4 linked regions of the Macaca mulatta genome follow. The protein of the gene in region 1 purifies or fractionates together with the protein of each later gene. This does not show direct contact. Links are inferred from orthologs where the notes say so. Each region holds a gene or a part of one and is shown in the gene's direction. Other genes may lie near its edges.

Region 1 (3,500 bases):
CCCTTGGTAGTTCCCGTGCACAATAAGGTCTTAAACATTGATGAACATTAGCATGGTGGGGGAAATTAGGCCAGGAGTTACAGATGGAAGGATGACGTGCCAGTGGTCTGTCTGGATTGAGACCATCAGCAGCGGTTGGTGGCAGGCAGAGGCTTGGGCCTTTTCAGGTATTACCTTTCTTGTTTGGGGCCTAGGTACTGGAGAGTTAGAAATGAGTTGTAGCAGTGACTTTCATACATCTTCGCAGTGGGGTTTTTCCAAATGAAAACTTGAAGACTTAAGTACAGAATTGCTAAAGGTAGAGCTGCTTCTGTAAGTGCAGGTAGCCCTTTGACCTGTTTTGCATGACAGGCAGCCTCTGAGGCCCTTGCAGAGTCCTAGATGACCACAGGCCACAACTAAAAAATCACTGGCCCCTAAGAATCCTAGTCTCACCACGTGTATTCTGGTAAGGGCTCATTCTAGCCAATATTATGGCTCCTGGGGCTGCTCAGTGGACTTGGTTGTCTTCAGGGGCCCCAGAGTTACAGTGAGTGTCCAGAGGATGCCTGGTCTTTGTTCTGACCCTGAGATGATTTCTCTTATGTCTGGGTTGTGGCTGGGAGGCTGGTGCCAAATCCTACCTTGTGCTTACAGGTATACCTTGTTAGTGGGCAAACCACCTTTTGAGACTTCTTGCCTAAAAGAGACCTACCTCCGGATCAAGAAGAATGAATACAGTATTCCCAAGGTGACTAATGATGCTTTAACTTTACATTTATTTTGTTTTCCCCAAAAGCTGTTTATGGAACCCAGCAATATCCTAAGACCAGAAATAGGTCTATCCCACCTCTAGGATAGCCACAGAGCTTACGAGGGCCTGTGTCTGAAATTACATACAGAACTTGACATGTATGTGCACATAAGCATTTTTTCTAGGGGGAGAGAGTTGGCAGATTCTCAAGAGATTGGGTAGCCCAAAAGTTGCGTAAAAAGCAAAAAACAAAGGAGGTAGGAAGGAGTAGGAGGCTAAAGTGCTTAAGCTTTGGAAATGGATTATCTTAATTCAAATTGAGTCTGCCACTTAGCCAGATCACATTGGGCAAATGGCCTGCATCTTCTTTTTTTCTTTTTTTTCTTTTTTTTTTTTTTGAGGTGGAGTTTTACTCTTGTTCCCCAGTGCAGTGGCATGATCTCGACTCTCGACTCACTGCAACCTCCACCTCCCAGGTTCAAGCGATTCTCCTGCCTCAACCTCCCAAGTAACTGGGATTACAGGTACCCACCACCTTGCCTGGCTTTTTTTTTTTTTTTTTTTTTTTTTTTTGTATTTTTAGTAGAGATGGGGTTTCACCACGTTGGCCAGGATGGTCTCGAACTCCTGACCTCAGGTGATCCACCCGCCTCAGCCTCCCAGAGTGCTGGGATTACAGGCATGAGCCACCATGCCCAGCCTGGCCTGCATCTTCTGAACCATAGTTCTCGTCTATAAAGTGGAGTTCCTGCCTTGGAGCACCTCACAGAGTGCCTTACATGTAGTAAGTGCTCACAGAATTATGAATCACTGAATCCCAGGGCTTCCTAATGGCATAGTGGTGTGCAATTTCCTTTTTTTTTTTTTTTTTTTTTGAGACAGAGTCTCACTGTATCGCCCAAGCTGGAATGCAGTGATGCGATCTCGGCTCACTGCAAGTTCCCCCTCCTGGGTTCACACCATTCTCCCGCCTCAGCCTCCTGAGTAGCTGGGACTACAGGTGCCCGCCACCACACCCGGCTACTTTTTTTGTATTTTTAGTAGAAAGAGAGTTTCACTGTGTTAGCCAAGATGGTCTCAATCTCCTGACCCTGTGATCTGCCCGCCTCAGCCTCCCTAAGTGCTAGGATTACAGGCGTGAGCCACCACACCTGGCCATGGTGTGTATTTTCACAACCACCAACAGAAATGCATTTAAAGGAATAGCTGGTTCCTGCAGAAGCCTAGCACACAGCCAGTTTGAAGTGTAGTGTCCTTGTGTGAAGCCAAGAGGCCTGTCACCATAAGGACGGACATAGTAAATCCATCACAAAGTGTCAGTTCACTGTCAGAGACAGCATGGAATCAAGCCAACTAGACAAGGCCTTCACCCTCTCTGTGCCTCACTTTCCTCCTCTGCAAAAAAGGGATGATAATAGAGCCCCACCCCTTAGATGTATTAGTGAGGGCTAAGTGAGCTAAGTACAGGAGTGCTTAGAATGCTTTCCTGGCACATAGTAAGTGCCAGGAAAGTGAGTTGGTGCTAGGCCACAGTCCATTGACCCTTCTGTCAAAGGTGCTCAGTAAAGCCGACAGTGGAGAAGTTGGCATTGAACCAAGTTGTGAACCACTAACCTGGGGTGTATTTGAGACTGGGGACTGCGTGTGGTCTATTGGCCTGCAGCCCCTTTGAGGCCGTACTGTACTCCGGGTCCCCTTCACATTCTGCTTATGGCTGTCCCTCTCTCTGCCCTAGCACATCAACCCCGTGGCCGCCTCCCTCATCCAGAAGATGCTTCAGACAGATCCCACTGCCCGCCCAACCATTAATGAGCTGCTTAACGACGAGTTCTTTACTTCTGGCTATATCCCTGCCCGTCTCCCCATCACCTGCCTGACCATTCCACCGAGGTTTTCAATTGCTCCCAGCAGCCTGGACCCCAGCAACCGGAAGCCCCTCACAGTCCTCAATAAAGGTACAACAAGGGTCTGGGTAAGAGAGCAGACTCCCCAGAGAAAGCCCAGGTTGTAGGGGTGTGTGTGGCTTAGTCCCTGGCCCCAAGAGCTCAGGTTTGGTTTAGGACAGACCTCTGTCCTTAAATTCGTGATTCCCATGCCCATCTGCTCCTCGGCCTTGCCGGGAAAGACTGACCTTACCATGGCTGGATAAACCTGCTATGCTCAAGAAGAAGAAAATGGACTGAATACCAAGCCTAAAAAATTCTTTCCAATCACTTTAATTAATTAATTTAATTTTTTGGAGACAGGGTCTCTCCTCTATTTTCCAGGTTGGAGTGTAGAGGCACAATCACAGCTCACTGCAGCTTTCAACTCTAGGGTTCAATCAATCCTCCCATCTCAGCCTCCCAAGTAGTTGGGACTGTCAGGCATGAGCCACCATGCCTGGCTAATTTTTTTTTGTTTTTGTAGAGACAGTGTTTTGCCATGTTGCCTAGGCTGGTCTTGGAACTCCTGGGCTCAAGTGATCCTCCCACCTCCACCTCCCAAAGTGTTGGGATTACAGGCATGAGCTGCTACGCCTGGCCTTCTAACACTTTTTCATGATTCATTGAAAAACATAAAAATTTCCTTTTTTTTTTTTTTTTGAGACAGGTCTGGCTGTCTCCTAGGCTGGAGTGGAGTGGTGTGATCTTGGCTCACTGCAACTTCTGCCTCCCAGGCTCAAGTCATCCTCTCATCTCAGCTGAGACTACAGGCGTGTGCTGCCATGCCTGGCTAATTTTTTGTATTTTTTGTAGAGACAGATTCTCACTTTGTTGCCCAGGCT
Region 2 (3,979 bases), on another chromosome or scaffold:
TGGGAGGACCGCTTGAACCCAGGAGGTGGAGGCTGTAGCCAGTCATGATCATCCCACTGCACTCCAGCCCGGACAACAGAGCAAGACCTTGTCTCAAAAAAGACCCCAGGCCGGGTGCGGTGGCTCAGGCCTATAATCCCTGCACTTTGGGAGGCTGAGGTGGGCGGATCACCTGAGGTCAGGATTTGAGACCAGCCTGGCCAACATGGTGAAACACCCGTGTCTATTAAAAATACAAAAATTAGCCGGGCATGGTGGCGTGCGCTTGTAGTCCCAGCTACACGGGAGGCTGAGACAGGAGAATTGCTTGAACCTGGGAAGCGGAGGTTGCAGTGAGCTGAGGTCACGCCACTGCACTCCAGCCTGGGCGACAACAGGAAAACTCCGTCTCAAACAAAACCAAATCCCAAAATTTCTCGTCTAAATCCTTCCCCCACGACGAGGGGACTTATCTCTTAGCGGTGGGTTATAGGTAGGAATATTCCGCGATCCCTCACTTTGACATCGCTTCGAGGACAGCCACCTCTTTCGGGTAAAGAAGCCGCAATAGGAAATCCCTCTGATAAAAATTCTGCTGTGGGGAAGGCGGGCATCGATCCCACTACCTCTCACACGCCAAACAAACACTGCACCACTTATGCTGAATTCCTAGCTCAGCCCAACTGCTGCAGCCGGCGCATATTATGGCTCACGTCATCACCGGTGTCCCCTGCCACCCCCGCCCCGCCCGGCCAGCTCGCCACCCCATTGGCTCCCTTGAGGCTCCGGCTTCACGGCCATGATTGGTTTGGCTCAATTTAGTTTTAAAAGCACTGGCCATTCGGATTGGTGGTCCGATACGTCCGTCAAGCGGAGGCCCTGCTGTTGCTACGGCGTAGGGGGACCCAGACAGGTCTCTCCCGGTTTCTGATTTGTTTCTCAGGCTCCGGGGTCCTAGAGGTTCCGGATCCGTCAAGTACATGGGAAAAGAATGCGCCCCTCGCGCTTGACTGACGAGGCTTGCGGGCCAATCGGAATGGAGTCAAGGGAGCCGCTAGGCGATCCAATAGGTGGTAGGGGCCGGGAGAGAGGGACCAATGAGCCTGGAGCTGGGGGAGGGGGCAGGGCCGCGATTGGCTGAGAGGCGGCCAGAGGGAGGGCGGGGGGAACTCAAGGCCTGCTTGATACGTCCGCCATTTTGGGCGCTTTGCTGATGGTGTCGGTGAGCGCGTTTCCCGCCTGAGCGCAACTAGCGGCGGGTCGTGGGCACCTCCAGGTAATGGGGGTGGGGGAGGCGCTGGAGCAGGCCGCGGCGCGGGGTGTGCGAGGCGCGCGGGCAGGCGCGGGGCCCCTCCACCTGGGCCTCGGCGGCTCAGGGAGGGAGCGTCCCGGCCCCTCTCCCCTCCCCCCCCGGAATTCGTCGCTCCGCGGGCCCGGGAGGCGCGGCGCCGAGTCCTTCCCGGCCGCTCCCAGCCCGCTCCTGTCAGCCGAGGGCCCCGCCGGGACGGGCGCCGGGAGCGGGACGCGGCCGGGGCGGCGAACTTTGCGCCGCGTTGACGTTCGCGGCCTTGCGCGGCGGGCGGGAGAGGCGCGCCCCTGACCCGGCTCTGGCTCCAGTCTTCCCGCCCGCCGGCGGCGGCCCGCAGCGTCGCCCACCGCCTGGCCCGCGCCCGGTCTCCGCTCCCGCCGGGCCTCCCGGCCAACTCCTCCCGGGGGCCTCGGGGAGCGCGTCAAGTTGAGGCAGCAGCTCGCCGTCAAGAGTCGCGAAGGCCATTGTTGGACTCTGCTCTCCGGGAAACAAGTTTTGTGGGTTTCTGTTAATTCGCCGCAGAGTCATCGGGATCCACACCAGCCAGTTCCGAGGCTCCCACTACCCTTCCCAGTGGCTTTTTAACTGCAGTGGTGGCTCTGATGTAGACTGTCTCGAATGCCTCCCTGGTGTATTTGAGCCGGGGGGGGGGGTGGTCCTTCTTGTGGCTTGAAGTCCCTCCCTCTTAAAGAAGCCCATTCACTATTAATTTGGAGGTGTTTCCTGTTGAGGTCCTGCTGGCTGTGATCACAATTTGGACTTCTTAATTATAGGTGAACGGGATGGGTCTTTGGATGTACCTCCGTGCCCTGACGTTTCAGCCGCGTGACTTAATGTCATTTTCCTGGTACTTAACGTTTTTTCTGTGGGACTTTGGGTGTGTTTTGCTTTTATGGGAGGGGGTCTTGACAGGCATTCCCTTTCATTCTCGCAGCACTTGTTGACGGGGTGGTAGCCTACTTTATTCATGGGAAGTTTACTTCGATTTTGTCCTCAAGGTCATGCATGTTGCAGATAGGTTTCAAGGGGAAACGGGACTCCAGGTTTCCAACCATCGAAATGTGCCTCAAGTAGCAAGTGTGTGAGACCCAGTTATGGTGGTGGTTGGATTTTCCTCACTGTGGAGTGGAGTCAGTGACCACTTTTTAGCTCTCTGACCTTGGGCAAGTTACCCAGCCTCTCTCTCTCTTATTTTTCTCTGTAGAATGGGAGTAATAATAAGCGTCCCAGCCATAAGTTTGTCAGGACTATTGCCCTAATACATGTAAAACAGCGAGAACCGTGCCTGGCACACAGAATCACCTCAGTGTCTGATTAGTGATTAGGCTACCTAATGGCTATTATTATTTAATTTAAATTTGATTTTTAAATGTTTAGGTACTATTGGGAAGTCAGATGAGCATTTAAGCCCTGACTCTTGGTGACTGTCTTTAGAAAGCTCTGTGTAAGAGTCAGTTGGGCTGAAAAAGTAAAACTAGAAGTTACCTTTTTTCAGTACAGGGGTTTTGAACATTCCTTAAGTTAGGTACATTTACCGGAGTAATTGATGAGTAGTAGCACCTCAGAATGTTTAAAGAGGTGGTTAAATGCAGAAAAACCCATCACAAGCTTAAGTCGGCCTTTATTCCTCATGTGCTTTTGGATACTAGTTTCTGGGTGACTGCCCCCCAAATCAGTAACTTCGTGTACTCTTCGTTGTTACTGAAGACTGTAAATGTACCGTGAATTGCAGTATTTTTCAGCAAAGGTAGTTTAGGAAATAGCTGTTGTCCTGGAGGGATACTTTGGAAGGTATTCTCCACTTCAGCATTTCTGGTCAAGGAGTGTAGAACATTGAACACAATGCCGTGTACTCAGTTAGAAATAAACTCACAGTTCTTTACCACTTGCCCGGTGCTCTCCTCCATGGTACTGGAAACCTTGCGTGCCTTTCCCCTGGTATTGCTGTGTTTACTTGGGACTTGCTTTGCTGTATTGGAGCTAAGTGTGTTTTGATGGATTCAGTCTTAAGTAGAGATGAGTATCTTGCTGGTGGAACTTCAGGACAGGAAGAAGATTGTTTTGGGTTTAGAAGTCTAGCTTTTGTGTAAAGTATAGCAAAGCAAAGCAAACAAGCAAAAACTTGCTAGTTTCAATGAACTAATTGGGAATTTGAGAATCAGACCATAGCTGAGCAGAAAATGAATAGAAGTAACATTGACAGGATGAGGTTGCCTAGGTTTTTTTTTTTTTTTTTTTGAGACGGAGTCTTGCTCTGTCACCCAGGCTGGAGTGCAGTGGCCGGATCTCAGCTCACTGCAAGCTCCGCCTCCTGGGTTCACGCCATTCTCCTGCCTCAGCCTCCTGAGTAGCTGGGACTACAGGCGCCCGCCACCTCGCCCGGCTAGTTTTTTTGTATTTTTTAGTAGAGACGGGGTTTCACCATGTTAGCCAGGATGGTCTCGATCTCCTGACCTCATGATCCGCCCGTCTCGGCCTCCCAAAGTGCTGGGATTACGGGCTTGAGCCACTGCGCCCGGCCTTGCCTAGGTTTTTAAGATAAGGCTTTGGCCGGGCACGGTGGCTCACACCTGTAATCCCAGCACTTCTGGGAGGCCGGCGGATCACTTAAGGTCAGGAGTTCCAGACCAGGCCAACATGTGAAACCTTGTCTCTACTAAAAATACAAGAGTAAGCCGGTCATGGTGGCGT
Region 3 (4,144 bases), on another chromosome or scaffold:
TATTGGAAGATGATTATAACTTCTTAAGGGGTTCAATCTGATTTTTTAAAAGAAAAATAATTCTTTTTTGCAGAGTTCCTTGCAGTGAGGTAAAATATTCAAATATGGGAGGCAGGCATATAAGGTAAATGACCACAGCAGGGAGGGTGTAATAAGATGAGTGATAGAGGTCTGTGGCAAACTGGAGTGAGTGAAAATTATTGGTGACCACTCTAGCTGACTATTCCCATGCTTGGTATTCATATTTTTCAAAAGCAGCTGGAAATCTAGATTTTTGAATGAAGTCTGGCTTTTAAATGTTGATAGGATTTTGTCTTTAACTTGGGCTCAAACCAAATATAGCTGCAGACTGGATTAGGAAGGCCACCAGTTTAAGGTATTTTTCCATGTCCAAATGTTTGAAGAGAATGCACACAGAAAAGGTTATATTTTAAGTAATATGCACAGTGCACATTGTAAGGATAACAGCTTTAGTGCTTCCTAGGTGTCTTAGTCCATTTGGACTGTTGTAACAAATTCCCATAAACTGGGTGGCTTATAAGCAGCAAAAATTTATTTCTTAACAGTTCTAGAGGCTGAGAAGTCCAAGATAAGGAGCTGGCAGAGTTGGTGTCTGGTGAGGGCTGCTCTTCTGGCTTAGAGTTGGTGCCTTCTTGCTGTGAGCTCCCTTGGGCCTCTCTTATAAGGGCACTAATCCCATTCATGAGGGCTCCATCCTTATCATCTAATCGTCTCCTAAAGGCTCCCCTTAATACTGTCCCATTGGAGATTAGGTTTCAACATAGGAATTTGCGATAGACCACAGTATTAGGGGTATTTTGACTGCAGCAATGAGTTTGCTGCTGTTTTGAGAGAGAGGTTGTGCTTTATGCATCATGTGTTCCACGGGTTGGACACAGTGTTCATACGTGATCCTGCCTTTTAGGCAAGCCCAAACAAGTGTTTCTCCTTATAATACCAAGTTAATACAGAGCTTATTAAATATTTGAGACAAAGGGCCAAGAGAAATGTGAGGCCCAAATTTCCCTTTGTAATTATTGCTGGCAAGGTGCAAGCTTTTAGCACGTGAACTGTTTTCCTGGAAAGCACACACATGAAAACTGGAGTATTCCTTCCGGGGAAATCGACCTCTATTGGTAGCCATAGCTCCCCCTTCGCTAAGAACTGCTGTAAGCACGGAATCGCTATCAATAGAAACCCTTCCGCGTTCCTCGGTAACTAAGGGCAACCCAGCGCTCCCGGATGTGACGTCAACGTTCTTGTCTTCTGTTCTTCCGTCTGTCGACCGGACTCTAGGCTGCCAGGTTTGTTTGCTGTGTACGTGGAAGAAGCAGGCGCATGCGCACACGGACCCCTTCATCTCAGCTGTGCGGGAACGGCAGAGGGTAACATCCCGCGCGCTCGGGAGGCTCTCGGGGTCATGGCCACACGCTGACAGAACTAGCCGAGTGGAAAAGGGAGCCAAGCCGTTCCTCTGCACCCTTCCGCAGGCCTGAGACCTTCCCGCTTGGTGCTGCCGCCGCTACTGCCGGCTGAGGAGGGGCGATGAGTTGGTTCAACGCCTCCCAGCTCTCCAGCTTCGCTAAGCAGGCCCTGTCCCAGGCCCAGAAGTCCATCGACAGGGTTCTGGACATCCAGGAAGAGGAGCCGAGCATCTGGGCCGAGACCATTCCGTATGGAGAGCCGGGTAAGAGAGAGAGGAGCGGGGTTCCCGGCTCTCGGAGGCTGCTGTTCTCCTGATGCAGACAGGTTAAGTGGTGTAGAGAGGGGTCCTTCCTTGCTGAGAGAGTTCTCTGGAAGTAATTTCTCCCCGGCCCATTCCCTAATGCTGCTTCAGCCTCCAAGTCGGTCTTTGCCGTTTTCCTGAGGGAAAACCCAGCCCCAGGTTCCCCCTTGTCTTTGGTCGTGGGTGCGAGGCTTGTGGACTTCGATGACAGGGGACTTGGTTGATTGGTCTTGCCCTCAAGCCCTCCCTCGACGCAACTTCCAAGCACAACCTTTCCGAACCTGAACCTCAAATTGCCTCGCGTCTCCTGCACTGTTGGGATCCAAGATCTGAAGTACGTAAATCATCAGGGAAGGGAAGAACAATCGCTAACATTCCGTGAACATTTCACGCTTGGTAGCGCGTAATGTGGTTTTATGTTGTTGTTGAGACGGAGTCTCACTCTGTCGCCCAGGCTGGAGTGCAGTGGCGCGATCTCGGTTCACTGCAACCTCCGCCTCCCAGGTACCAGCGATTCTCCTGCCTCAGCCTCCCTAGTAGCTGGGATTACAGGCTCCCACCACCATGCCCGGCTAATTTTTGTATTTTTAGTAGGCACGGGGTTTCACTATGTTGGCCAGGCTGGTCGAACTCCTGACTTAAGGCGATCCCCCGCCTCGGCCTTCCAAAGTGCTGGTATTACAGGCGTAAACCTGTAATGTGCTTTTTTATGGCCTTCTCATCTTCAGAACGACTCCCAGAGTGAGCTTAGTTTATATCTGTGTTTTACATAAGAGGAAAATGAGGCCCAGAATGGCCAAGTAACTTGCTCTAGGTCACACGGAGGATGAGGATTAGAATGTGCTGGAGGTATTACCCAAGGAATGTGTGATCCAAGATTTTTGGATTGTATCACATTTTATTTCTGAATAGCCAAATCTCTCTTGCAGTTTCATTGAGCTTAATCTTTCAGGGATCTTCATTCAGTTGCTTTTGACTCTTAAGTCTAAGGAGCAGTTTAGCATTTGATGTGTGGGGTAAAGATTTGCAGGTGTGGGGGATGTGAACCTTTGTGTGAAAAAGGATAAGAGATGTGCTTGACTACTCCTTTCTGGTTTCTGTTCTTAATTTTACATCAGTGAAAAGTCAGGACCTAAATTTGAGGTACCTCATTTTAAGGCATTTTAGTCCATGTGTGTATGTCATGATCCTCAGGATGCCATATAACCTTGCTGGAGTAACTGTTTTTTTTCATATGTGCCCCAGTTAATTAGAATTACTAAACTTTAGACAAGAAAGAATATAGGTTTTATATGTAAGGATATTTGTTTTCTGAAAATGACCACAGTCTTCAGAATGGTATAATTTTGATAGATGCCAGATAACCCTGGGATTATATAAAGTATTCTCCAAGAGGCAACATTAATTCCTGTCATCCTTTGAATGTGTTTAAATTAATCAGACATAATCTTGGTTGTTCATTTGCATCTTTAATTTTGATTTTCTCTGGTTTGGATATATTATGCAAATGGATGTGTAGAACTATGCCTCCAAACTGAAGTTTTCTACTTACTTTTCATCCTAACTGAAGTCATATATATATTTACATATATATATTTGGTTTTGAAGTCATATATATATTTACATATATATATTTGGTTTTTTCCTTGAGACAGAGTCTGGCTCTGTCATCCAGGCTGGAGTGCAGTGGTGTCATCTCTGTTCACTGCAGACTCTGTCTCCTGGGCTCAAGTGATTCTCCTGCCTCAGCCTCCTGAGTAGCTGGGATTACAGGTTTGCGCCACCACACCTGGCTAATTTTTGTAATTTTAGTAGAGACAGAGTTTTACCATGTGGACCAGGTTGGTCTTCAACTCCTGACCTCAGGTGGCCCGCCCGCCTCAGCCTCCCAAAGTGCTGAGATTACAAGCGTGAGCCACTGCGCCTGGCCTGAAGTCATATTAAAGGATAGATTCTACTGTAAGGCTTGATAGTTTTGAGAAGCTTTTAGTTACTTGTGCTCTCTCCACCAACTTCTAATTGTGAATATTTTGTTCAGCCACATTTTAATTTGGAAAAGAAAACATTTTTAAAGAAATGCTTTAAATATTTTAACAAATATACCATTTTTAAGATCCTGATTATGCCATTTTTAAAAATCAGGATTTTAATAGTAGCTATTTGTATGACTGATATGATAATTACCTTTTTCCCCAAGAAAATAGTCATTTTCTTTGCAGTATTTTTTTAAAAACCCTAGTGTCAACTACCTAGATCTATGTCAAAGAGCAATAGTTCTTAAGAACACATTTCTGAAATTCATAATGACATTGTAATTTCTGACATAATTTAGAATTTGAGAACAAAACCTCCTCTTAGAGTGGGCTTGGAGAGTGGAATTTAGAAAATCAGCCTGTGATTAAGTGGATGAAAATGAAT
Region 4 (4,228 bases), on another chromosome or scaffold:
GACCACACATTGTGCCAGAAACTGTGATAGAATTTTTTGCATGTGAGATCATTTAATCCCTGTAGTTCGGCTGCAGAAAAATGGGATGCCATTTTACAGATGAGGTAACAGATTCAGGGAGGTTAAGTAATTAGCTCAAGGTTACAGGCCTAGCAAGGAGCAGAGTCAAGATTCAAACCTAGATCTGATTGCAAAACTTTGTTCCAACTATACCAGTGGTTCCCCCAAACTATCCCGTGAGCTCTTTTAAAAATACATCTTACTGGGTCCAACCTACAGAGATCCTGCATCATTGGGTCTGGGGCTGGTCTGGGAGCCTGTATTTTTAAAGTAACCCAGAGGTATGGATTGGAAACCTTCACCACTCTGGAAGCCTCTCTGGATTTTCCAGATTATTCATTGAAACTCTGCTCTATCCTAATTAATGCTTATTTATATGATTGTACTGAAGGTTACCACAGGCTTCTAACATGGTTCTCTCAATTGGTACCTTTTTCCTACCACTAACACTATTCAGAGCCTTTAGTGGCTTCCAGAACCATCATATGGTTCTCATGTCCCCGCCTTTACCACCTCCCAAAGCTCCTCCCCTCCAGCGAGGTGTGTCTGGAGCTATGTGGGGGCGCCAGGAAGGGGTGAAGAGTTAAGAGATCCAAAGCCCGGGAAGGTGCTGCTAAGCTGGTCTGGGAAGGGCTTTTGCAGGGCACCGGCGGACAGAAGGCAGGCATCCCAAATCAGAAGGCGGGCATCCCAAATCAGCAACCTTGCCTAACGCTGCCCCTCTGCTACCTCTTGTCTCCCCTGCAGTGGGCTCCCAGGACAGCTTGCTGGAGATCACCTTCCGCTCTGGAGCCCTGCCCGTGCTCTGTGACCCCACGACCCCTAAGCCGGAGGACCTGCATTCGCCGCCGCTGGGCGCGGGCTTGGCTGACTTTGCCCACCCTGCGGGCAGCCCCTTAGGTAGGCGCGACTGCTTGGTGAAGCTGGAGTGCTTTCGCTTTCTCCCGCCCGAGGACACCCCGCCCCCAGCACAGGGCGAGGCGCTCCTGGGCGGTCTGGAGCTCATCAAGTTCCGAGAGTCAGGCATCGCCTCGGAGTACGAGTCCAACACGGACGAGAGCGAGGAGCGCGACTCGTGGTCCCAGGAGGAGCTGCCGCGCCTGCTGAATGTCCTGCAGAGGCAGGAGCTGGGCGACGGCCTGGATGATGAGATCGCCGTGTAGGTGCCGAGGGCGAGGAGATGGAGGCGGCGGCGTGGCTGGAGGGGCCGTGTCTGGCTGCTGCCCGGGTAGGGGATGCCCAGTGAATGCGCGCTGCCGAGGAAAATGCCAGCCGGGGCCCGGGAGAGTGTGAGGTTTCAGGAAAGGATTGAGATTCTGCTTTGGAGGGTAAAGTGGGGGAAGAAATCGGATTCCCAGAGGTGAATCAGCTCCTCTCCTACTTGTGACTAGAGGGTGATGGAGGTAGGGCCTTGCAGAGCCCATGGCTTCAGGAAAGGGTCTCTCTCCAGGACTGCCAGGCTGCTGGAGGACCTGCTCCTACCTGCTGCATCGTCAGGCTCCCACGCTTTGTCCGTGATGCCCCCGTACCCCCTCACTCTCCCCATCTCCATGGTCCCGACCATGAAGGGAAGCCATCCGTACCTTCTCAGGTACTTTGTTTCGGATATCAGGATGCTCTGAGTTGCCTAACCCTCCCCCTACCTTTATGAGAGGAATTCCTTCTCCAGGCCCTTGCTGAGATTGTGGAGATTGAGTGATCTGGGCTATAAAAGCCAGGCTAGTCCTTGTAGTGTGAGCATGGAATTGGAATGTGTCACAGTGGATAATCTTTTAGAGGAACTGAATCCAAACGTTTTCTCCAGCCGGACATTGAATGTTGCTTCAAAAGGAGCCTTGAAGCTTTAACATGGTTCAGGCCCTTGGTGTGAGAGCCCAGGGGGAGGACAGCTTGTTTGCTGCTCCAGGTCACTTAGATCTGATTCTTGTTTTGAAAGCCCTGCCCTGCCCACCTCCTGCTTGTAGCCCAGCCCATCTAAATGGAAGCTGGGAAGTGCCCTTCACCTCCCCTGTGTCCTGTCCAGCTAAAGCTTTTGCAGCACTTTACCTCTCTGAAAGCCCCAGAGGACCAGAGTCCCCAGCCTTACCTCTCAACCTGTCCCCTCCACTGGGTAGTGGTGGTCAGTTTTTACTGCAAAAAAAAGAAAAGAAAAGAAAAAAGAGAAAGAAAAAAAAAAGTGAATGCAGGCTGATAGCTGAGACTGTGAGACTGTTTTTGTCCACTTTTCTGAATCACTGCCACTTGGGTCAGGGACTGCAGCCATTGCCACCCTTGGCCCATCTCTCTGGGTGCGTGCCTTGAGCACACCTGTAAAAAGTGCCATGTGCAATTGTCTTATCTTTTATGATCTAGGCTTTGCCTAGGGATCACCACTCCTTAATGGGCTGACTGGGGCAATGAGGGAAAGCTCCTTTGCTCCTGTAAGGCCGTAAGTGGCTGTTAACAGATTTTCAAATGACTGAAGAGATTGCTGAGACCTGCTAGAGTCATATGTTTGGGGAATTAAGTCTTTATCCTAGACAACAAGCTACAGATGCAAACTGCAGTATTTTTGGAGGGTCAATCGGCAAGGATATGATTGTCCCAAAATGGAGTTCATCGATCCTAGCTTTGCTTTAGAATGTATATAAATAAAAGTGCAGTCCTCTTCTAATGGCCACAGTTGATTTAGCCCAGAAAGTCCAAATGAAAGGAAATAAATTCAGTTTTATGTTAGCCTTCCTTGGTGCATCAGGGTGTCAGTGGAAATAGGATGGGGTGGGGTGTGTGTGTGTTTTGTGTGTGTGTGTACACATGTGTTTATATATACATGTGTGAGGGAAGGTGTGTACCTATATGTAGGATTGTGACCAGACAGAAAAGAGTGGGAATCTCCAGGGTGTTTGAATCAGCAACAGATTTGTGTTTTCTAACATGCATTTAGTTGGAGAGGCATGGTTCTGTTTGTTTTGTTTTGATCTAATTTGCCATTGGAAATAGGTACAGGTACACAGAGAAGGAAGAACTAGAAAAGTGAAATCCATGAAACTAAATGAGCAGCTGTCAGGAATCCAGTGTGACTGAGCCTACCTAGCTTGTTAAATCTAACCCAGGGTTCCTTGAGTCCAAGACCGCTTCGATTATTAAGATTTTGAATGTTCAGAGGAGTGAAAAGTCTGTTTTCTGGACGTAAGCAGGAGCTGAGGATAAAGCCAGAGGCCAGTGGATTAGGTGTGTGGAATGTGGATGGAGAGGGCTTGTGTGGGATGTGGCCAGGGAGCGAGTGAGGAAGGCCATTTCTAAATGGTCTGTAAAAACTTAAGATTGGATAGACAAAAGGAAATGGAGAGATTAAAGAATTGGGGAAACTAGTTATCTGTGTTGCTGACTTTGGGACCCATCCAAGACTCTTGCCCTTGGGGTGTTCCATGGTGGTTTCTTCCTGCCTGGGCCCCACCCTTTCCCCAGTTCAGGCCCTCCCTGAAGGACTAGTTTGTATATTGGCATCCTCCCTAGTGGGACCCAAACCAGTGCACACTTGGTGTGTGGAGATGGGAGACAAAGGACAGATCTAGGAGCCTTGAAGGATCACCAGCCACCAACCCTCCATCAGGGCCAACTGGGCAGGAAAGGGAACATTGCAGACCTGATTTCCCAACGATGTCACCCTGTCCTCCCTCCTTGCTTCTTGCTCTGCTAACTCAACTCTGCCTTCCTCTTTTTCATTCTTCTACTTTGCCCTATATGGAGGACAAATGGACACCAGGGGTGCTGACCTTATTGGTGCCTGCCCCAGCCTGCCCCAGGTGCCAGCAGGCTCTCGTGCACAGGAGTCTCCCACAGTTATGGAGCCAGGAAAGAATTTCTCCACACTGGATGGACTGTATATTGGGATTAAAAATTATATTCCTTATATTCCTGCTTATATCAATGCTCTCTCTGTAAAACCTCTTCCTAGCCTCATTTCTCTCAATGGATCTTGTTTAGGAGTTGTATTCCTTTTATTTACTCTTTGCTTGACTGCTTCCTCCTAACCCTCTACCTGCTAGCCCTCTACTTCCTAAAGCTGTGTGTCATTAACTCTGTTGGATCAACTCTCTGGGAAAAGATTCTGTTAATGTAAGTGCACTTACTCCCTGGATGTTGTCACTAGTCTAGTGGCTTTTGCTAAATAAATCTTTCTTATTTC

The links. Proteins that work in one complex are often made in the same cells at the same time.
Region 2: the proteins of PLK1 (region 1) and PPP6R3 purify together in Homo sapiens (affinity purification with mass spectrometry; 3 studies listed by BioGRID and IntAct, with this or other methods). This does not show direct contact. The link is inferred for Macaca mulatta from reciprocal best matches to the Homo sapiens genes PLK1 and PPP6R3.
Region 3: the proteins of PLK1 (region 1) and TMF1 purify together in Homo sapiens (affinity purification with mass spectrometry; 5 studies listed by BioGRID and IntAct, counting the BioPlex papers as one, with this or other methods). This does not show direct contact. The link is inferred for Macaca mulatta from reciprocal best matches to the Homo sapiens genes PLK1 and TMF1.
Region 4: the proteins of PLK1 (region 1) and C1H1orf226 purify together in Homo sapiens (affinity purification with mass spectrometry; 3 studies listed by BioGRID and IntAct, counting the BioPlex papers as one, with this or other methods). This does not show direct contact. The link is inferred for Macaca mulatta from reciprocal best matches to the Homo sapiens genes PLK1 and C1orf226.

What each region holds. Positions count from the first base shown.
Region 1 is NC_133425.1:23,225,285-23,228,784, forward strand, and holds part of PLK1 (serine/threonine-protein kinase PLK1), read left to right. Parts: intron 1-636; coding exon 637-730; intron 731-2,468; coding exon 2,469-2,688; intron 2,689-3,500. UniProt on the Homo sapiens protein: Serine/threonine-protein kinase that performs several important functions throughout M phase of the cell cycle, including the regulation of centrosome maturation and spindle assembly, the removal of cohesins from chromosome arms, the inactivation of anaphase-promoting complex/cyclosome (APC/C) inhibitors, and the regulation of mitotic exit and cytokinesis.
Region 2 is NC_133419.1:6,159,125-6,163,103, reverse strand, and holds the start of PPP6R3 (serine/threonine-protein phosphatase 6 regulatory subunit 3), read left to right. Parts: upstream 1-1,179; 5' UTR 1,180-1,255; intron 1,256-2,061; 5' UTR 2,062-2,135; intron 2,136-3,979.
Region 3 is NC_133407.1:132,607,672-132,611,815, reverse strand, and holds the start of TMF1 (TATA element modulatory factor), read left to right. Parts: upstream 1-1,344; 5' UTR 1,345-1,545; coding exon 1,546-1,687; exon of another isoform or gene 1,688-2,060; intron 2,061-4,144. UniProt on the Homo sapiens protein: Potential coactivator of the androgen receptor. Mediates STAT3 degradation. May play critical roles in two RAB6-dependent retrograde transport processes: one from endosomes to the Golgi and the other from the Golgi to the ER.
Region 4 is NC_133406.1:104,534,618-104,538,845, reverse strand, and holds the start of C1H1orf226 (uncharacterized protein C1orf226 homolog), read left to right. Parts: upstream 1-1,428; 5' UTR 1,429-1,651; exon of another isoform or gene 1,652-4,228. Other genes in the region: NOS1AP (carboxyl-terminal PDZ ligand of neuronal nitric oxide synthase protein), read left to right, coding at 808-1,223.